2 linked regions of the Lepisosteus oculatus genome follow. The protein of the gene in region 1 interacts with the protein of each later gene in a pairwise test. Links are inferred from orthologs where the notes say so. Each region holds a gene or a part of one and is shown on either strand. Other genes may lie near its edges.

What was found.
Region 2: the proteins of homer1b (region 1) and specifically androgen-regulated gene protein interact in binary tests that used the Homo sapiens proteins (3 or more experiments, as listed by UniProt). The link is inferred for Lepisosteus oculatus from reciprocal best matches to the Homo sapiens genes HOMER1 and C1orf116.

What each region holds. Positions count from the first base shown.
Region 1 is NC_090698.1:41,962,834-41,975,340, reverse strand, and holds the start of homer1b (homer protein homolog 1b), read right to left. Parts: upstream 5,506-12,507; 5' UTR 4,358-5,505; coding exon 4,353-4,357; intron 1-4,352. UniProt on the Homo sapiens protein: Postsynaptic density scaffolding protein. Binds and cross-links cytoplasmic regions of GRM1, GRM5, ITPR1, DNM3, RYR1, RYR2, SHANK1 and SHANK3.
Region 2 is NC_090700.1:33,674,989-33,686,614, forward strand, and holds the start of specifically androgen-regulated gene protein, read right to left. Parts: upstream 6,135-11,626; 5' UTR 4,555-6,134; intron 2,366-4,554; exon of another isoform or gene 2,120-2,365; intron 1-2,119. UniProt on the Homo sapiens protein: Putative androgen-specific receptor.

The sequences.
Region 1 (12,507 bases):
ACATGCACACACTCACACCAGGACCAGTTTTCCCAGCAGCCAATTAACATACCTGTACGTCTTTGAACTGTGGGAGGAAACCAGAGCACCTAGCAAACATGGAAAAACACACAAATTCCATGCAGACAGCAACCCCAGGTCTGGAATTGAACCTGAAGTGCAGTGAGGCCGCAATGCTAACCACTATTAGTGTGGTTGATAATAATAATAATTGCTTACACTTATATACCGCTTTTCTGGAAGCTCCACACAAAGTGCTTGACAAGTAATAAGGACTCCCTTCCACCACCACCAATGTGCAGCCCCATCTGGATGATGCGACGGCAGTCATAGTGCAGCAGTACTCTCACCACACATCAGCTGTTAGTGAGGAGGAGAACAGAGTAATAAAGCCAATACATAAATGGGGATTTATGTGATCGGTAAGGGCCAATGGGAAATTTGGCCAGGACACCAGGGTAACACCCCTACTCTTTTCGAGAAATGCCCTGGGTTTTTAAAGACCACAGAAAGTCTCTTTTATGTCTCATCCGAAGGACGGCACCATTTTACAGTATAGTGTCCCCGTCACTATACTAGGGCATTAGGACCCACACAGGCTGCAGTATAAGTGCCCCATACTGGCCCCACTGACACCTCTTCCAGAAGCAACCTTAGTTTTTCCCAGGAGCTCTCCCATTCTGGTACTGACCAGCCTAGCTTCAGTTGCCAGCTGTGAGCTGCAGGGTAATATACTGTACAGTAGCTACTGGCATAGCATGGTTACCATTTCATGAGTAACAATGCCAGCCATGATTACACATGTAATATCAAACATAACAAATTTCCTAATTTAGTAGTAAAGGGTAAAAATAAACAACATTTGGTAGGTGTTTGTTGTTAACTCGTGCATAAAAACTGACTTCATTAGAGGTTCTGCTTCATTGAAAGCTTTATATCAGAAGGATTGTTTGTGATAATGGAAGGTACAAAGAAGTCATTAATAAATCTACAGTACACTCAACAGAAAGCTGAATCCTTCTCCCATAATACTTAATTCTTTGCCCAAATATAGAAAGATAATAATACAGAAAACCACTGCACAGATCCCTACAACATGCCAAAAAGCAATCAGGAATCTGTTGAGAAATTAACATTCATGAAGACCAACCGCTGATAAGAAATAAAATGACCAAACAAACAGAAATCAACACGACTTTATGTACAGGTTATATTACAGATTATGCACAAATGCTGTATTACTTTTTGATGAAATTATGGTTTTTACCTGTCCCACATTAATAAAAAAAACAGTCCAAAGGAGCAGTTTTAAAGTAGCAAAGAGCATGACAACTGAACAGTATCCAGTCAACACGAGTTTTAAAAACAACTCCACAGCACCAGTTATTCCTATCCTTTCCTACATTATTAATTACACTGCAATATATTTGAATCTCCACAAAATCCTCTATGTGGCTTTTGAATACCTTTAGCTTATTGTAGTCACCCACTACTGTACTGCTTTAACAGCATGTAGCTTAAACATAGCCAATGACTATGTATATGAGTAGGAGTGTTAGTGAGGTTTTATAATTCCATCATGAGAAATGGTATGGGTTGAGACAAATTTACAAGGCCTGGAATTACTAATCCAAATGCAATCCCTCATTACAAAAAAGAGAATACCAAGTAATGTGTACAGTGACAATATACACTGCTTTGATTCCTAATGTAAGTGTGATGCATCAGCAGTCCACATACTGTACAAACAAAACTTCAGAAGATATTCAGATAAGACTGACACTGTTTCGTGTCACTGCCCAACCACCCATGTACACGAATGTTTTTCTAACTTCACAATAGAACCTCCAGGATACTTTCTTATACATATTTAAAAAAATAAATATACTGCATTACACACACACACCAATTACCACTTGTGAAGACAAATCATGGGCCCATTTGGGAACTGTACTGAAAACAGTACAGTACCGTATCTCAAAGGTAGAATCTGAAAAAGAACTGGAATAAACAAGATAAAACTGTATTGCCCATATCAAAATAAAATTGAACAGTTGATGTGTTTTCCACAAACATGTCTCATCAGAATTATCCTTCCTCAATCACAGCTGCACAATCTCTTTCCCATCACACAGTACATTAGCAACAGTTCACTCTTTATTTTTGTTTATTCTGCCCTAACAATTTCCTTCAGCTTGTTAATGCTGGTTCTACTTTTTTTCTATTACCTTTTTGTCAAGCTCAACCTACCATGATGTTTTCCTTAAATGTGATAAGGTCAACTGACTGGGGAAGCAGGTGTATCGTTTTCAAAACCTGTTGTACTACTTGACTCTTGTACAGTAAGTGAATTCTGACTGTGCAGTTGGACTATTATCATGTTAAAATCCAAACCTGTCCATCAATGGATCTTGTGACCTTGAACATGTTCTATTTTTAAAATCTGTTCTTTAGGAAGGGACCAAGAAAGCCATACTGTGCAAAAAGAGCAATATATCAAAGTGATTTTCTCCTTCAAAAGATCATGCCTCATTGTTTCCAGAGCAGTGGAACAAGATTCGTACTGACAAATGTAAATCAGAACTGTCAAGCTCCAATAACTGTGCATATGTTCGTCAAGGAGCCTCTGAGAGGCTGAAGAAAGATTGCTTTGTGTCAAAAGTCAAAAGCTAAACGACGATTTGTGATTTGGTATGCTTTTTCTGAAATATATGTCCTTAAAGCACTTTGTACTTCAGCTCATCAAGCTAATTTGATCTGCGAAGAAGCTGATTAGGCAGACGTTGTATTCCACGAAGATAACAAGCTTGAACACACTTCTGAGAAATGTTGAACTTTCTTTATACTGTATTTTTTAGTTTTGTGGAAAATACAGAAAAAGGTCCGATGACAGTTGCGTCTTTTAAGTATTAACGCGTTTTAAGGAGACAGAACGTCTCCACTCGTTGCAAAACCTCTACCCCAAAACTTTTACACGTTTTTTACACGTTTAACATTCTCTTTACCTCATGGTGACGTTTAAGAAAAAATAATTTCGAAAACTAAAATTTTAAAATATTAAATAGATATATCTCAAGATAACTGGAAATCAGATTCTGGCTTCCTGTGGTATTTTTAAATAATCATTATCTAGCTGCACTTTTTGAAAGGTTAATTTATAGCAGTCCACTTTTAAATTCCTTTCACTATCATCGAGCTCTTACTGTTTGCCTCGGAACTCTAACTTGCTCACTCATTTTTTTTTATCAGGCAAATTATTCTCTTACTTCTGTCCTAAAATCCAAGTTTTAAAATATATTCTAGGAAAACAGTCCACATTTTAAGTCACCTGAATGTATAAAATGCGATTAATTTTCATTCTAAAATCCAAACGTAACGTAAAACAATAAAATTACAGGAAAAACAGAAGTGACTGTAAACATTGTGTATCACGTTTCATAAAAACAAAGGAAATTAAACTTTAATATTTTTCAAATTTCTTCCTCATAAGCCAGTAATTGAGTAAATCGTAATAATAATAATTATTTTATGATAAGTCTTCGGGAAATGAAGTAAATCTTGAGAGGTTATTGGATGCTAAGGCTTAAGAAGACATACATTTTTAACCATTAATTAGATTTTCAAACTTCTCTCCACCCCGATTTATGGTGAAATACGGGAAGTTCTGTATGAGCTTAATTTACTTAATGTGACTCATTGCTGTTAAAAAAACATGCAAGTGGTTCTAATGAACGATATCTGCTACGGAACACTTTCATAAAAATAAACGATTTCCAATGTTATTTCTATCACATAAACAGAGTAAACGTCATGGGTGTCTTGTGTAACACATGCACTTCTAAACCCATTCTTCGAAACGGGAAATGTTTAATTCAAATTCATGAATAAGAAATAATCATAACAGTGAACCTTCTGTACAAAAGCATTACATTAGTGGGATGGTATCCAACCAAATTTAAATCTGTGGTAAATTACCCTTATATTGTTGTAGGTTTAAGTTACAGAATTGCTTCACTCAGAAACAGTTCACGAAGTTCCAAATGGAATAACATGGCCAAAGTCATGGCTCACTCCACCAGATTTTGGGTATAAGCTACTATCTGCGACTATAATACAATGCACTTACTGTATATCACAAACGACCTAGAGTAAGTAACATTGTGAGACAGCTCAACTGCACTATGTTATAAGGAATATAGGTAATGCTAAAGATTTATACCATCTAGTCTTTCATTACATAGCTTTACTTGGGGCCATGAAAAAAGATACCAGTATACTGTATTTCATATTATGAGACCAAAATACACACAGTACAGTATTTCACCAAATATACATATTGCCGTATAACTTACCCCATTTTGGTTGATTGGATGATTGAAATGATCCAGTCAGTGCAAATGAAAGATTCCTCTGCTCTATGGTTAGTACTGTATTTTCTATTATAACGCCGCCGTGGATGAGATTTGATGGGGGTGGTGTGGTGAGGTTGTTGAGATTCAGCTCCTTCAGCAAGACATGACTGTTTCAATATAGTCCTTTATGATCGTCGGTCTAAAGCTGACTGATTTCAAAACAGATCCACAGAAATGTATACACGTTTACGAATACACATTCCGTCAAAGGTAACTATGTTTTTTTCTTGCACGAATTAGCATTCCCAGGTTTCATTAAGAATTATGCATTCCAAAAAACATATAGCGATATAGCTACTTCGAAACAAGGTACATGATTAACAAAATCCCGAATGCGTATGCAATCCACCTACAGTATCCTTTTCCTTCCCTTTCTTACTAAAATGAATGGGAAGAGCTTGCATTCGTTAGAAAGGTACACTGAGGGCTATCAGCAGTGCTGCTTTCTCTGGTCTCCGAATGACCCTTAAATATCCACTCGGTCTGAAAGCCAGGGTATTACTACTCCGTGTTCTTTCATAACGCCCTCTGGTATTTACTTTCCAAAACCGACACCTCTTCAGAACGGAGCTGGCTAAACCGCAGAAAGCTGTATCCTCAGGCAAGAAAAAAGCTTAACCTTCATTCCAGCATTGAGTTACTATTTTGCCATTCCCCATTCATTCGTATTGCAGTTTCCTTATCTCTTCTGTGCCATCAAAATTCCTCCAGAGCAAATTAAAACGCACTGTCACATGGGCACACGGAAAGGAAGAGATAAATCAGAAATCAAACCAGTACAAAAAAGGATAAAAGACGCCAGTGCACTGTCCAAGGCAGCTTTTTTCATAGCTTTTTTTCCGTTAGGAAACCTGGTGCATTCTTATAGCTCCATCATCCTCTGTATATTCACAGAATCACAGAAATGTACATCACTGATAATGGTTGTGTACAAAAAAGGAGTGGAAAGCCTATTCAGAGGTATAATTGAGGATAAAAGGTTTTAGGTTTTTAACCATGGGCTACAATTTTTTTTTGTTGCTATTCCATCCTCCTCGTTATTTAGAGTCTATAACACAGCTTTCCATCTCTCCAATCCCAGTCAACATCTCTGTCTCCATCCTCCGCTCACTGACAGTATTAAATAGGTCTACGTCACCACGCAACCCTCCGCACTGACGTCACTGCATGCTCTTGGGACTGACGTCATTTCAGTCAAGGGGATGACGTCCAATTACTCCAGGAAGCGTTACTATAAAGGGAAAGAAGGCAATTTCTCTCACCCCGGTACGGTAGTTCAGGTTTGGTCAAACTTCTAAAATTAAAACATTGTATGTAGGTGTTATGATGTTAGAAATGCAGATTAGCTATACAAAAAAAATCTAAGACGTTTTGTCTGTAATTTATATATAGATGGAATTAATGAGAAAAAAATACAAATTTTCCTCAGTATTTTAAAGAAACTGAACAGAGTTTGTGAAATGTAATACACCTTTTATATAAGTGAAATCCTTTCTATTAATATTTGGTTGACAGCATATACAATAGAAAGGCAGTTGTCTGAACTTATAATAACAAGGACACAGAAAATATCAAATTTAAATAAAATTTCAAAACATTCAGGGGCATTACAATGACACATAATCTATTACTTTTTTTTTACAATAGTGCAATTTCTGTAATTTTCCCATATGTAAAAGAATGGTGATATTACCATTTTTGCCACCAAACCGGTTAGAACCAGAAGGGGTGAGAGTGAATGTTTCAATTGACTCATTTAAATCCATGGATTTGCTTCAAGGTAGGAAAAGCAGGAAAAATTAAAATCTTGAGTACCTCATTCTCCAATTACTCACCACTTTGTCCAGCACAGGGTCACAGGGAAGCTAGAGCCTATCTCAACAAACAAGGACCAGGCAGAATACACCCTGGGCAGGATACCAGGCCATTGCAGGGCACACACAGACACACACCAGGGCCAGATTTACCCAGAAGCGAGTTAATCTACCAGCCTGTCTTTGAACTGTAGGAGGAAACCCACACAGATCTGGGGAGAACATACAAACTCCACTCAGATAGAACCCCAGGAACTGAATCCAGGGCCCCAGTGCTGCTACCTACTGCGGCACTGTGCCACCTGTCAAACAATATCCACAATACTTAATAAATATTACTAAAGTCAACCTCAAAGAAGTGTAAAACAAATACAGAAATATGTGCATGAACACACTTGAGACACAAATACTGTTGTTTTCATTGGTGTGAAGACGTTTGCTGCATCTTCTTAAATGTTGTTTCAATGGACTGAATTAAGGTAGAAATGTACTTCATTTTTTTTTCCAGATTTACGTTTCTTATAGTTAGCACAGAAGCATGTGTCCTGAGACAATTCTAAAATAAAATTGAAAATAACTGTTATAAGCATAAGATCAAGGTAGAAAAATCAAGATGGATGAACAGCAGATCTAATGTTGTGCAGACATGAAACCAAATATTCATTAAGTATACCCTTCAAAAATTTTTTTGTATTGTGTAACATAAAACTTTTGAAAAAAAATAAAAATATGTATAATTATACCTATAAAACAATTGTCTATAGAACAATTTACTCCTACATTTAACTTAGGGCATTACATATGTATTAATACAAATAAAATAAAAATAATATTTTTATTTTTATAAAAATAATATTTAATATTAAGATTTACCTGCTTATTGAAAAGAAGTGTGCTTTGCCAACAGATGTTCCCCCAACCAACTCCATTCCACTCTACCTGCTCGTCAAACAGTATAACTAGAATGTGTACTAGTAAAATGAAGGTAGGAAAAACAGCATGGACTTTCAGTAGTTTCTATCGCTAGATGGGCAGCTCAAAACTTGTTTTTACCATAAGTAGTAATTGTACTTGATAACAGCTCCCTTTGTTTATGTGTACCTTACAAGGGTAGTACAACTCAATGTCATTCATGTTGTTTAACCTCACATTTGTGTTTTGTAATATCAGCAACAGGGAATATAACACTCCTATTACCTTTTAAAGTCCTTCAACAAGAGCAGTTTCTTACATGAGCTGATCTTTATTTTTGTCTAGCTGTAGTGCTGGTGATTAACATTCAAGGCAGAAGTCTTAGAAGAGTTAGATCTGTGTAATTGTGTTATCAAAGACTTAATGGAAACAATCAGAACTATCAGAAATAACTTTTTTAAGCCATGTATGGATATTGGTATTTGGTATTTACCAAAGATCAAATCTATATGAATAAACAGTGTTTGTTTATTAGATTCAAATAAAATGTATTCAGCCTTCATCTACTCTATGATTAATCTGTATTTAATACATGAAAATCTTGCCATCATAGTATTCAGACAAATAAACCCACTTAATGTCCCCTGCAAAAAAAATTGAAAATGTTTAGATAAACAGCTAATGTGAATGCATTGCGAAAAAGAAAATATTTTTGTTTTACAATAAACTTTATTTAGTCTGTGAAAGCTGCAGTAGAAACAAAAATGACAAAATGAAGCAAATGTACTTTGGATAAATCTAAATATTTAGACTTAATTAGAGCATTGGTAAGTTTAATGACATGTATGCAGGCTTTGTTGAGGTTTGAGTCTGCACTGTAATGTATTTGTATTTGATCACCTTTGTCTCGATTTAGGTTTTGCTGTCTTGCTCATTTCTGTCTAAAATGGAAGATATTAATGGAATACTGTAGAGTGCTAGTAAAGAGTATAAAGATCTGTTTTCCAGGGAATTACCACTTCCGGGATCACTTGACTGCAAGTACAGTATGACATGTGACCAAATCATACCAAAAAACTTTATAGTTTCATATTCAATATAGTTTCAACTATATTTTGTCTCAATGGATCTAGTCCATGTTTGTTTGTTTTTTGGTAAAGGTTTCTATTATCTTTTTTCATTGATGTGTATGCCAAAGGATTCTTACAACTCTGAAGATCCATACAATGTTTGTACGAATGGGATGTAACTTTAACAGTTATTTTTGGACTTTATGTGTTAAGAGTAGGTATGGCTAAATCTAGTTGCACTTTTAAGGTTCTCCCGAATTTCTTTTTCAACTACCCCCTAGTAAACTTGGCTAAAACCCTCATACTAGCCAAGGGAAGGATAAAGATCTTGCACGCCTTCCTTCAGAAGGTGTACTGATGTGCAGCTATCCATTCCTAAAATAGTACACAATGTGCAGTATGCAGCAGAATTAGAATCAATTGGAAGGATCTTGCAGTTGAGTGATGACAAATCAGAGGTAACAAAGGTGTCTATAACCCCAGCAATCCTGACTTAATCTGGTTTGGTACCCATGGAAATCCTGTTCACCTTCCCTGATGACATACAATAGTTTAGACTTTTGCCAAGAATGTTCCAACTACATGACACATTTTCTGCTGTGTCACATTGGTTGTGAAACTCGACATTTCATACAGTATTTGTTAGTCAAGTGGTATATTTTTGGAAGTATGTGCTTTAATTGATGACAGCAGTAGGGGATTTCACAGGTTTCTTGTAATACACTAGTGAGTGTTTAAAATCATGAACAGTGGTTAGCCCATGAACGAAGAAGAAAAATGTAATATTAGTCAATTTAATTTTACACAAAGATATACTGTTTTAACTATTATTTAATTGTTTTATACACAAGGAAGAGGCTTATAATAAACATAAATTGTTTTTGGAAGAATCCAAAATTCTTAGGGTTAAAATAACATATATATTGTATATATTTGAAAAATGTATTTTTCAAATATGTTATATTTTGTAGCAGCATGTTAGCTGTATCAGCATGCATCAGCATATCATTACATTACTGTATATCTTGAACACAAACCTAATAGATTATGCTAAACACACTGAATACTGTATTTACAGTATGTATACATTATATAAAATATGTGTGACAGGGAGCAATGACAGCCCAACAGTACAGTGCAGAACTAGGGATTCAAAATGGAAGTGTTTTATCTTGCAAGAACAGCAAGTCCCATTTTAAAACCAGTGAACAGGAAAGCTAGATACAGCGTGTACATTAAATGTGCTTTCATTCATTAATTTTTCCTGCAATGTCCAAGATCAACAACTGAAGTCAGGTTATCAAGAAAAAGAAGACTACAGAAAACCCTGGACATTTTCTTCACCTGATGTATAAACTCTTTGTACACCATTATATACAATTAAATTAATAGAGCTGTGTAACAGATTCATTGTGGAATGTGTCCGTTAATAAAAACAAAAAAATGCTTACAGTAGTTATCTTGTGTATGATCTTATAAAACATGTTGGGAAAAAATCAAATGAATCATGGAATGAAAGCACAGTGGCAAGGTTCAGACACTTTTCAAAGGCAATGTAATATTTTATGCCTCTATTAAAAGGGAATGCATGGCTGATAGAATCACTTAATGTATTGTAGTGTATTAGCATACTGTAGCTACAGTAAGTACATGTCTCTTGGTAGACTAAATTGTTAAAAGCAGAAGATAAACAGAACCTGTTTAATGTGCACCAAAAGTTTAAGCTAGCTACAAGCTCATTTTAAATATATTCATAGCACTTATGGTAGAAAAATTCAAAGATTCATACTGTATAAAGTATGTAGAGAGCATTATACTTTAGTACAGAGTATTATATTTTTTTGAAATTCTTATTATGTTTTATGTTAAATTATTTTTTCAATGTTCACACCTTAACAATTCTTTGAAAATAAGTTTATATAATCTTTATTATTGCACAAATCAAAATACAAATGATTAGACATAAGAAAATCAACAATCAGCCTAAAAATCCCTCTAGCCTACGTCTTGGGTGTAGCCGATATAATAATTTAATTACCAATCAAACAATTTAACATACTGATTAAATGGGATATATTGAAACTTGTATGTTGCCTTTGAGAAATGATAAAGGGCAACCTTTAATATGTTTAAATCCAACAGGCATGTTGATATTCAGAATCAGTACAGAGAATCTTTAACAGAAGGCACAGATCCCTGACCTAAAACGTGACCTAATCTTGAGGAAATCCCATAGTACTGTAGGTACTGCTCAAACTATGATGTTCCTGCTGAGGTACAGTAGGTGTTTATTTCACAAGTTTGTTATTGAGCTACTGTTAGGTCATTACACTGGGTGTAAATGAGCAACAGAGCCATGCAATTGTAGTAGGTATTCCTGTTCTGTTAAGATACAGCCCCAAGTGTTCTTGTGAGTAAATAGTCAAGGAGTTAGAAAATGATGTGGGCTGTTGAAAAAATCACCACCTCTTTGTAGTGGCATTACAGTTGCATTACATTGCTACTGAAAGAGAAGAGCTTTTTATATTGAATAAATACATTTTGTACTTATACAATCATGGAAACATAATTTCTTTATAAATTAGGTTTTTCTACACTTTTTTCAATTTAATCAATTTTAATTGATTCTTATTACTTTAATACTTCTCTTAATCTTTCAAACAAATTGAAAATTTTGTCTCCAATCAAAAAATAGTTTGATAGTTTAGACAAGGATATGTTAATACTGTGGGTGACTAAGTAAATGTACTATGCAGAAGGTGTTCTAGAGTCCAGATTTTTCTATACAAAACAAGTGTAAAGAATTGAACACACAATATTAGACAAATTGTCCCAGCTCATATGGTATAATGAAGACACATGGATAGCATGGTGGTACAGTGACACGTGATGACACATCATGGCCTCATGGTACTGGAGACATGGGTTAAATTCTGCACCTGGAGTGCTATGTGTGTGGAATTTGTATGTTCCCTTTCATGTTTTTTGTGGGTTTTTGCCAGGTGCTCCGATTTCCTCCCACTATCCAAAGATATGCTGGTAGGTTAGTTGGCTTCTAGGAAAACCATACCTGGTATGGGTGTGTGCGTAATTTTATGTATCCTGTGATGGACTGGTGTCCCATCCAGGGTGTATCCCACCTTGTGCCAGTTGCTTGCTGGGATAGGCTCCCTGAATTGGATAAAGTGGTAAGAAAATGGATAGATGGATGGATTTCATACAGGGGAATAATTAGGGATTCTAACCTTCTTAAGAAAACTGACACTTTTCAAATGATACAGATACAGCAGCATACAGCATCCACAAAGCCATTAGGGCACATATGTCAGAAAGTCCAGATCAGAGGTCAACTAACCTCAGAGTCCGTACAAGATCATGCAGGTTCATTCCTTTAAGGTCTGTCTGGGCTTTCAGATTTTTAGGACCCCTGTCTGCTTAGCCAGGCACCAAACTAATTTAACATTTTCACATTGTAAATCTGAAATACTGTCCTGTGATGCTGCCATTTACATTTGGCACAAGGCGAAAGAGAAATATCTTGCAGTGACTCGTTGCAGTGTAGCATAACATAAGCTGACAAGCTCAGAAGAGAACAACTGTGGTTGAAATTATTATTTAAACTTGCTAAGACAGGTGCAACTGAACATTTGGCTGAGCTGTTCTTTGTAACGGACAGGAATGATGACACACGTCGCTCAGAAGGCTTCTGTTCATTTACCCAGAAGCAAAAAGAAAAACTGTAGAAAAGTGCTTCAAGTCTTGACCCTGTTACAGCCTCAGCTGAAATCAGAAGCCAAAGACATAATTAATTAGGTCAGTAGGAGTTGTGACACCTACTGTACCTGGAAGCACAGTCTGCAAAGCAGGAAGTCACCCTAGATGGGACTGTAGCTTCTAGCAGGGCGCACAAAAGCACACAGGGTCAATTTTGTAGACATGAATAAACCTAGTCAGCCTGTATTTGGAGGGTGGGAGAAAAAAAAACAGGGCACTGGTTAAAAGAAAGTAAACACAGCAAAAACATGCATGCTCCAAACAGTGGATGCTCCAAAAAGGGTTCAAGCCCAGTACACAAGGCCTGTAAAATAGCAATACTAACATCCTCCTTAATATGCCACTACAAGCCTCATTCCTCTTAAAATTCCTTTTAATATACTGTACTTTTTACGATAGTTTCTAAGAACATTCTTAAATAAATTCTTTATACAGTACATACATTTTTGTATTGTATACAGTATGACCTCCTTAATTAGGAGTGCTGGCAATAAGTCTCCCCCTAACTAAAAACACACAAAATTC
Region 2 (11,626 bases), on another chromosome or scaffold:
AAACAAGGCACAAACTGAAAAGGGTCCTGCTGGCTGACAATTCTATCTCTTTCATTGTTAAGGCTTTATCACATGAATAATGAATGACAGCTTCACACTGACTGCCATGTGATGGCATTGCAGTTAGAGATACAATTTCAGTGAATATTCCAGAGAACGGCTTTTACGTGCTTTATGTAATGTCCGGGACTTGGAAGTTTGATTATTTTTGCATTATTTCCTTGTGAGCTATAAAAGAGAATTAACACTTTCTGCCATACTGAAAACAATGGTTACAGTTCTTCCTACCTGCTCTCATTAGAAATAATAGTCCTTTGTTTTACCCACCAGCAAAACCACAGACAGCAACAGTCTGTCCATGACTGCTGTCGATGACGTCAATACTCCCCTTTGCAAATAAAGCCATTTTTTTTTTACTAATGTCAAGATTGTAGTCATTTTAACATGGGGTTAAACACAAAAACAGAGCAGATTGTGCTAGCCCCAAGCAACATACTGTATACCAAGGGCCCTGGGGTAAACAGTCCCACTCTTACTTATTGTCAAGGAATTCACAACCACCAAGTATTCTTTGATTTACTGTAGCACTGCACCTCCAGCAGTGTTCCCCATCACCACACTGGTTGGGAAACTGTGATCCAGAGGTGTGGTGACTTTGTGGCATAGTGGCTGGGGCCCTGAGTTCAATTACCAATCTGGGGTGCTTTCTGTATGTTCTCCCCATGTTTCCTTGGGCTTCCCACATTCCAAAGATATACTGGTAGGTTAATTGGCTTCTGGGAAAATTGGCCCTGGCGTGTGTGTCTGTGTGTCTTCCCTGTGATGGACTGGTGTCTCATTCAGGGTGTACCCAGCTCTGTACACATTTCTTGCCGAGATAGACTCCGGCTCCCCCACAACCCTGAATTGGAAGAAGCAGTTAGAAAATGGATGGTCCAGAAGTACAAGTGCCACCCAGTGGTCCACTAACAGCAGCAAACTGTTTTTTCTCGGAGGTCTCCCATCCTAGTAATGACCAAGCCCAACCTTGCTAATTTTCTGAGATTTCACAGATCAGGCTACATGGTGGTAAGTCTCTCTAGGAACAAACTACTGTATGTTTTTCTTTACCGTGATGTAAAAAGGCTTTAATTCTCTAAAGTACGTTTAGTATTTGATATTAAACTCCTACCACACGACGTACTGCATGCTGTTAGGACTTTCATAACTTTGTGTGTACTTAATAGCCCTGAGCCAATATTTGCCCAGCATGGGACCAAGAAGAAAAAAATACGGGAAACCGGCTTTCCACTGGACTCATCATAGAAGGTGGGTGTAGTCAATCATTAAATGTTGAGTTTTAGGGATGCCATTTTTTAACAAAATTACAAATTACAGTTTTGAAAATAAATGACCACCCTACAAGAAAGCGAACGTGACAAGCACATCCGTTTGCGGAATTTGTCTAATCGTGTTATTATTCATGAAGAAAAATGTCTGAAGCGTACCGTACAGTATATTATAACACGCAATTAGTTTTTATATTAAGAAACAAGTAAGGGTTTATTCTGTGCTGAAAAGAGAAGAAAGGAAACAGCGTTTCTCCTGTGGAGCCTTCTTCAGATTTTTGTATTTATGAGTGTGGTGCGTGGGTTTTGTGTGAGGTGTTTTTATATTTATGCGCAACTGACATTCTAGTAGCGTAAAAACTGATCACTGTTTGCAACACCAGTATGGATCTGTGTGCTAATCGAGCTCAATGCAGTGTTAAGATTGATAAAAGTCTGATCAGTTTACAAAAGTGAATATCTTTCAGAGATACATTACATAAAGTGTTTAATTAGTACAGCAGAATAAAATGCATTGTTCACGTTAAGATTGATGCTTAAAATGACGAATACATAAATTTTTCAAAAATGTTTGTAAGTTTTACTTGACACAGTCTTCACGAAGTCTTAAATACATCGAGACACCTACAGTACGTACGCACACTGAAAATGAAATGCTAACAATATTATCTACCCCAACAGAGAGAAATGTGCAGTTGATTTCCTTTTGTATGAGGTCCATATACGTTTCACAGCTGCATCGTGAACATCGTTTATGGTCCTGATGAAGAACACGACAAAAATCGACTTACCTTTATACGAAGGATAATCAAGACCCTTTAAAGCTATTTATGTATTCCACAAAGTTGCGCCCTCGCAAGCAACCTCTGGCCGCTGACTCTATTACTGCACAGGTGAGGCAATAATCTCCCGACTTCAGTCAGTCTGCTCCTGTCCCGAGTCTCCGGCGCCAATCAGAACACGGTGAGGCCGCCCATTCCCGCAGGTGCAGCCAATGACAAACTGGCTTTAAAATGAAACCCGCTTAGACAACACGCCCAAAGCGATCCAATTACTTCGCGTAATTAGTGTTCGCGTCTTTGTTGGTTTTATGTATTTGCTTAGGGAGAAAGTTCAAAGTGTCTCTTTACAATGAATATTTATATATTTATAGTTTGCATTTACAATTATAAGAAATAAACAGATTAAATCAACTATTGTAATTACGAGTATTATTATTATTAATTATTATTATTATTATTATTATTATTATTATTGTTGTTGTTGTTGTTGTTGTTGTTTTTGATTATGATGTTTGACGTTGTTATTGTAATAGTACAGTTGTAGAAAACTGTTGTACTGTTGTAGAAAAGGTCAAGCACATGACGTAATATTGAGACAGCACTAACTATCAGGCGAAGAAGCTGATGGCACTGCGGTATAGTTCTTGCAGTGCTATAACTGTAAATGAGATTAGTCCCTGGTGAATTAGTTTCGTATCGTTACAGGTTCCACGGCGTCGATTCTAGTGCTTTGTATAAAAGAAGGAGGTGTCTCACAGCAACAAGGTAACGATACTGTACTGCATGTATCCTCTCACATATTACAGCAATCCATACCCTGTCAACAACAGGAAACTGTAGATGCATATGATCAATACGGGAATATTCGACACCTTGCTAAACTGGTCTTATCAAAGTACCAATAAAGCACTTCAACGGCTTCCCTGGAACACATTCTTCCTCAAAAACAGAGAGATTCAGAACGTACACCACGTGTATATAACACTAAAGGTTTGGTGAGATGTGCAATGCAGTGCAAGTTTGACGGAAATTCAAGGCGAGAAACGGCTGTCTGTGCTTGCTGTTTTACAGCCCTATGGCACTACACTTAGACACCGTTGACAAGGGAGCAATGCATCATGTCCTATCCCTGTAGTCTATACAGTGTATATATATATAGTGTAGTATATAATCTTACTGGGTGTAAAGTAGCAAAATAAAAGCAGAAGTAGTATTCTTGTCTGCTCTGTGATAGAGAGAAAGCACTGCTCTTGCGATTCACTTACTCATGAGGCTTTGTGTTATGTTGTTATTGTCCTTCTTATTAAAAATTGTAATTCAATTATAGGGTTATGGTGCAGTGGTTAGCGTTGCTACCTCAAAGCACTGTGGCCTTAGGCTCAGTTCCAGGTGTGTATATGTGTGGAGTTTGTATGTTTTCCAACTTCCATGGGTTTCCCATGGGTGCTCTCTCATTTAGTCCCACAGTCTATAAACATACTAGTAGGTTAACTGGCTTCTGGGAAACTTGCCCCTGGTGTAAGTGTGTGCTTGTCTTTGTCAGTGTGTGCCTTGCGATAGACTGGCATTCCATCCAGGATGTATCCCACCTTGTTCCCATTGCTTGCCAGGATAAGCCCTGGCTCCCACCCAAATGTACTGGCAAATGGGGGGTTACGAAACTGGTGAAAATCAGGATTTGACTTCATAACCCCCAACATGTAAGTGATTTCTTCAGAATACACCTGGCCAGTTGATATAATTAGAGGCACGTGAATTCTTTATTCTTTGGCACCGCTTTGGTGACAGGAGTAATAATCTAGTCATGCTTGGTTAAAAAAAAATATTGATGATGATGACAAGACAAACTACACTACCCACAACAAAGCATACAAATCACAAGTTACTCTATGTACATATTTACAAACAAGGCATTTCAGAGCCAGCATAGCAAACACTTACAGAAGTTAATAATGCATAAATAGGTATTTAAATATAACATTTAAAATAACACTAGTCAGAGAATGTCCAGTGTGGTCACGTCTTTGTTTTTCCATAGTTTCGCTTTAAAGTTAAAGAATAGATAACGACTTAGAAGACACAAACATCTATTTATGTTCAGGTGGGTAGCTGCGTCAGCATGCGTAGGCTGCAAAGGAACAAGTAATAGGTTTATTCCTTGCTGAAAAGAATAGAAAGAAAACACAACGTTTCTGCTGTGGAGCGTGAAGAAGACTGCACGGCTGAAACATTGCGTTTTCTTTATTCTCTTTTCAGCAAGGAATAAACCTATTACTTGCATCTATTTATGTTGCCCTGCTGGAATGCTGTTATATCAGAATAAGGCTGCAAGTATGGCCGCAGGACTTGATCAATGCAGAGCAGTCATGTTACCATTAATCACTACAAGTAGAGATCTGTAACGACAAGACTCTCATATATCAACCATCATACATGGTACCTACCATACATTGATTGGTCTGTTGTACACAAGTTAGAAGACAATATCTGGCCTGCAAACGGACTTTTTAGCAATCCAGAACTGCAACATTGAATTTCCTGAGGAAAAAAAATAAGAAAAACCTTGCAATTAAAATAATTCCATTTTGTTTTTGTGTTTAACACCACAGCCCAGATCCAAGTCACCCTTGGAATACCACTGATCCTTTCAGGTCAGGCTAAATGGAGAACACTTCTCCACCGAGGATGATGCCACTAGTACTTTTTAGGAGGGTTAGGCTGAGCAGTCCGTGACATCTCTGTGTGGAGAATGACTGCAAATTTTTCATTTATTTCAATTTCATGGATATTGGTACAAAGACAAAAACTTTTGCACAATCAGCACAATGAGCAAGAGCAAAGAAAAAAAGGGCAGACCAGGCAAATCTCCTATGTTTCAGAGGGTGAAGGTTTTGGGAAGAGAGGTCCTTTTCCAAACACACGTAAGGCTTTACTTTAAACCAGAGAATGTGTTTCAACTCCTCATTGTGTGCGTCTACATGAAAGCAAAAATTATTCAACATCCACACCTTCTTCAAATCCTGTATAAAGGTAAAAGATTAGTCAAAATAACTTTTAGTCTAATCCAAGTAAATTGGTAATGACATAATCCCATTTAAATCTTTGGAATACATTACACAGGTCATTATTAGCTTCCATAGATCTGTGCTGTGGTGCTGTGGTGCTGTGGTACAGAAGAATCTGAGGTGTAACATATGCCCTATCCACTGAATATAGACCAGCTTTAGAGACGGAACTATCCACACACTCAGATCATCACACGGTATGTACAGTATCTACAGTATTTTACTGTATCTTGTAGAAAGACGAGTATCAGACCATATAGTATACATTGGAACTGAAGTGTACTGAACCCTGTTTTGTCTCTGTAGTGTTAATAGGCTTGCATAGAAAATAAAACTTGGCAAATCATTTAAATCAAGACTTTATAAGTGGAAACAAATTTGTACAGTACATTTGTCAGTGTTCTGTCAATTTACAAAGGAAGTTCTGTATTCATTGTAGTCAATATCTGTAAATGGCATCTTTATCAGAGCTACAAGGCCATTATGAGATCTATCTCATAATCTCATATTCTATTTCAGAATATTTTTATGAAGATTGTGTGATGTAAGCATTTCAGAATATGTGAACTATCTACATTACTTAATGCTTAAATGCACAACAATTTATTAGGGGGGTTAGGTTGAACAGCCTGTGACATCTCCGTGTGGAAAATGCCTGAGAAGCATTCATTTATTTCAATTTCATGGATATTCTCCATACGCCACTGACTTCTCTGTGACACTAATAGGCTTCTGTCATTTTCAGGGTTGTTCAGTATTGAGCATTATTAAACTAGGCACAGATGGTGCTCGTAAAAAACCTATATATATACATTTCATTAACAAAGAAACCAAGATGCGCAATGACTCAAGATTAGGTCATACCCATTTATAAGTCCTGTGTGATCGCATGATGAGGCAGAGCTTTTATAGTTAAATGACCAGCAATTATGGATTTATAAAGACTTTTGGGCATTTAAAGATGCGTAGTGCCCATTAATATTAAAAGTAATGAAAAAGTGTTTTAAAGTGATAATGATTAAAATTCTATAAGACTGTACCTTCAATTATTCCAAAATCAATTACTTTTTTGTTTTGGAAATCCCCTTGTGAACAGCACACCGCCATAACAAACCCATATTATAAATCCTTAGGACACAGCACTTGTTTTTGTCAAAAATGGACATTCAATTATTCACGTGAGTAACCTGTTACCAAAAACCTTCTGCAGAATCAAAACACAACCTACTGTAATTACAAAGACAAACTGACCTGCTCGAAAAAAAAAATATTTTAAATATTTTTAAAACTATAAACAATGTTTTATATTTGGGAACATATTTACGTATTTCTATGTGCCATATTATTGTTTTTAATACTTAATAAGTATTAGGCATTTTTAGTCTTGCTCTTACCCCCACCTACTTTTAGCTGTAGTTTTTTTTATTTATTTAGTGGTTACTTCAGTCTGCCTTTGGCTGGAGCTAACTTGAAAAACCTGCATGAATTTGAATTGTGTGATTTGTGGGTGTCCTCTGTTAAAAAGACTCCAGATATCTGCAGTTATGTATGTAGAATGCAGTGAAACATGTGAATGACGGGGCTCGACGTGGGCAGTTTCCACCTGGAACCAAAGGCAGGAAGAGAAAATGTGCATTGCAAACTCTGATTATACACAAAAATACTCTTTCCTCCTCAAAGACCAGCCCAACCTTTGTAACGTCCACAAATAAAGGGTCATATCACTTAAAACAGGTTATTTGTTGGACGACTGACCAGGTGTCTCAGAGCAGATGAATTAAAGACATTAACTGTTGATTTTGATATTATTATAACATTGAAAAGGTGGCACAGTTGTACAGTGGTTAGCATTGTTGCCTCGTAACTCTGGCCTTAACTCCTGTACTTGGGGAGCTATCTGCATGGAGTTTGTTTTCAGCACATCTGTGTGAGTTGTCTCAGGGTGCTCTAGTTTCCACCAACAGTCCAAAGTCATACTGGTACTGTAGGTTAATTGGCTTGTGGGAAAACTGGCCCTGGTATGAATGCCTGTGCGTGTCCTGCGATGTACTGGCATTAGAAAATGGATGGATGAATGGATTACATTGGAAATTCCTCGTGTTCATCTTAGGTGAAAGTCATCATTGGCAGTCCTCGAGAACCTGATGCCTTTGAATTTTCATTCTAGCGCAGATACGTAAATACGTAAATGAAATTATTTGGTAAAATGTTAACCCATGTCAACTAGATTCTGGTTGGAAAGTACCTAAAAACTTGTATGAAGCTTTCCTTCAAGGAACTGAGTTGCCTGTAAACGCTTCATTCAATACACTATACATTCATATACAGTGTCCGTTATCCATTGTAAGAAAGCTTCTTATTCCTAGGAAGGGAAGCATCTGCCCAGAGCCTAGCTGTGAAGAATAGGGTGCTAGGCATAACTACACCACATTACTGTATATGCTTGATCCATGTCAGCTATTCCATAGGATCTTACTTTTGATCTGATCCTCTGATCCTCATACTTTTAAATCTTTACAATGGTAACATGCAAAACTGCCCTGCACAATGAATTAGAAATATATTTATAATGCAAACACAGACCTGAGAATTTGGTCATGCAAGCTAATCACATTACAGAAAGCCAATTTAGAAACAGACAAAAGTAGAAAGAGTTTATTTTTTTCTATTTATTTTTATTTTGCTTCCAAAAGGTACTATGCCTATATCCAGCATTATAAAATAACACTGCAGTGTGTAACCTCACTTTTGTCATAGGTGGTGCAAACATTGTTAAAATAGAGTCAAAAGACAGTGGCTGACATACCAAGTAACAAAAATCAGCATTTTGACACGAACTCACAAATAACTTCAAATGCATCTGGAATAAATTGCGATGGCAACAAATAAAATTAACGCAATTATAAGACTTATTTTTTGCTCTGGTAAACTGCTTCAACATTTAACATTCAGCTGTATTCTGTATTTTTTTTGTGTTGTAAACAATGGCTTTAAGTAGCCTTAACACAAGAAAAAAAAAGGGATACCCATGTACTTCTTTTAATTACTAATATGTACATTTATATTCTATCTTCATGAGTCCAATTTGAGCCTCAAAAAAGGAGATGGGAGTCTGGAACAAGAGAAAACAGGATTGTTTCGGATCAATGCAGAGAGTCGCAGATGGGTTTGTGTGTAATACAGTGCCAGAGATTCTGCTAGATTGAATGAATTCTTACATTTGGTTACCCTAGTACTAGGTTAAAACATAGGCACTTGACACAGCTCAGATGGATCCTACAGTTCTTTCCAGAAATTCAAGGGGGCAGCTTGTTTTCTGTTGGCATACAAGGTGAACAATATCATGCGATCAGAAATAAGAGCTATTTTCACAAGCAATAGCAAGTCAAAATAAATTATTTTTAATTGAGTGCAATGCCAAACATAACTGCTGCATTTACAACTTAATTAAATCCCCTTAGAGCAGGTGTGTTTGGCTCTCCTGCATCACTACCAGACCCCCAAGCCAGATACCATTAAACATACAAGAACTCATTAAACATACAGAATCAATCTCAACATGTTCTATTAAATTCAAAGAAACACAATAACGAAAAATCAGGTAAAACCAGTAGTGTTTCTCTATAGTGCTTGATGTGCAACATTCAGAAGCTGTGAGTAAATGTAATGGGTTCATAGGCTTGCGTATCCATGCATGTGGAGTTACTGTGAATAGAGAACAACGTTTTAAAGCCATGTTTCAGTTTTGACAGAGGTTTAGATTACACCAACACATACAGTGGCATTCCTGGTGAAAAGCTCCAAGTACTGCTAACATTAAATTTCTCAACGTACTGCACGATCTTGCTTTATATTCTGCATTGTTGAAGACAAAGAAACAATAATAAAAATACGTAATGCAGAAATTCATTTCTTTACATTTTCATTCTCCACATCACTCTTTGCAGATGAAAACCAAAAGCTTGTGCGAGTTAAGTACTTTATAATATTCATACTTAACAGTAGTAACTATTGTGTTTTAAAATACCCAATGAACACCGTGGTTCAGTCACATGCGCCACAAACACATTTGTTTTCATAGCATAGTTAAGAAATTCTAAATCTGGTCAATTAAAGGTAATTAAATGTACTACTTGAAACTTCCAGCCATGAGTGAGAGTATATATAAAAATAGAAAATACTAACTACTCCCATCACATTTTTTAAAATAAATGAGAACACATCCCAAGACATTTTCAGTGAAACCTAGTCATTAGCATTCTTAAGAAATTTAAAAGTAGTGCTACATCTTTTAAAAGTTTTATTTTAGACCTGAAGGGGATCCGTAAGATTAAAATCTGACCACACAGTTCCATAACAATAAAAAGTTCAATACAGGTCAGGAGGCCCTGTAACAAAATTAGAGATTTAAAATCATATATAATTTTGGAGATGGTGTATCCCTGAAATATAAGCACAGAAGAATTAAGCCGACTCAGTGCCTTGAATGCAATAGAAAAAGTTATCATCCCGTCAGTCGATCTCATAAAATACCAAATGCAATGTTTCTGGTATTTAACTCCCCTCCCCCAATTATTTTTCTATGGGAGACAATGCAATTGGATCTAATCAGATCTCTGGCTACAGTTACTAAGATACACCACAGTAACAATGACAAATGAAAAACCTAACCATACGTTCTCCTGCCCTCTTTTGAACGACATTTGTGCCTTCTGGCAGTCAACACAGATCAGTTTATATTCAAGTGTCTGAATATGGGTAACCTACACATGGCTCACTGGCTCAATGTTCATCGAGAGTCTTTAATTTCTCTCTGTATTTTCTAATTACAGTGCAAAATGTTCAGTGAAAGACTTTGAGAACTCTGCATAAGGAAAAGCTCATATACAGTACCCAACTCTGTTTCAGAGCATCATCTATGTATGTAAACTTTTAACATGTCAAGAAGCACAGAAACTCTACATCTATCACTCCTCTTAGTTCATAGAAAATCCAACTATTTTAATGCTTTGTTGAATAAGCCACAACTGTAGATTTCTAAACTAAGATTTTTAATAGCACCAAATCCAAACACAATGCTGTATATTGCATGCTTGTCTACCTAAAATCTGAAACTCTTTCAGTAGCAGATAAGAAAACCCATGCAGCTTTGTCTTCAAAATCGCAATGGTAATGTGATAAGCATTCTTACATTATCTGCCTAAAACTGTACAATTCAATAAAAAGGGAAAAATGGGTTTTATATAAGCAACAGGTTATATGTCATAATGTATGCTTATTTTTGAAATTCAGAAATGGTTCGTGGAGTGGCATATGTGCAAGGTTTCAGACACAGCCCTTAATGTAAATAAGTTTGCTATTATATTAGCTTAATTGAACCAACATAACAACTGCTCAGCTCTTTTTATAAGGACATAGAAACCTTGCAAATTCTCCAGCCCTCTAGAATTAGGAGTCGACTCTCCTGTCTCCTGAAAGAATAAAGTTGTTGGTAATTTAATGGGCAAAATTAATACTTCAAGGCCACTTTTAATGTTATAAATTGCCTTTCCTGCATGATATCATGACCTATAATAGGATTTAGTTGCAAAAGTAGTTAAATATAGAACTCAGTCTGTAAGAGAAAGAACTCAGTTAAATGCTCTCACTTTAAATAAACCATACATTTCAAGAAGGAAACTCTTACTGCAAAGGAAATCGTACTCTGCAGATTTTTTAAGTGTTTTGATAGTTTCAGACACATTCATTTTGGCAGTTTTGATGCATGGCAAATTCTCTATAATTCTAACATTAAAACAGAAAAGTTTAAGCTTCTGAGTGAGCAGATGGAACAATATTTAATACTATGATATTTTTCAGAACTGCAATCTTCCCTATATAAGCTGATGTGTTTCATAAATGTTTGATCTAATACTTAGTTATAATGCCCAGGTACTGAGGCACAAAGTCAAAAAATACAATTCTGACATTGTTTTCAAATGCCTGGGGTTAACATCCTTTTTTTAAATAAAACACGCTGTTCAACTGTTCAGCGCCAAAGCCTCAAGTTTCAAAATTTAAACGGCCATACACCAGATAGATAACAAGAGGGTCCTTTAAAACGGAAAACTAAATCTTCATGAAAAATAGGATGAAACCAAAAAGGGTGCTGCAGTGGTGCTATTGCACTTTTGTAGGAATAAGAGACTAGAGGCACATGTCTCACCTCAGGATTTTGGTTTCAATATCAAAGTCTTGTGGGCTTAGCAACAGATGCACCTTGTTACGCAAGCAGGATAATATGATCTGCAGCACATACAATAATAACCGTGACCTGAAAAAAACAAAATCAACTAGATTCAAGCCCTAGCAAAGCAGCCATGTTGGTTTTTAGCTTAGTTCACTTTAGTTGAATGTAACACTGACTACTGGACTAACGGATCTTGGTACAGTATGTCCACAAGGACCCAAG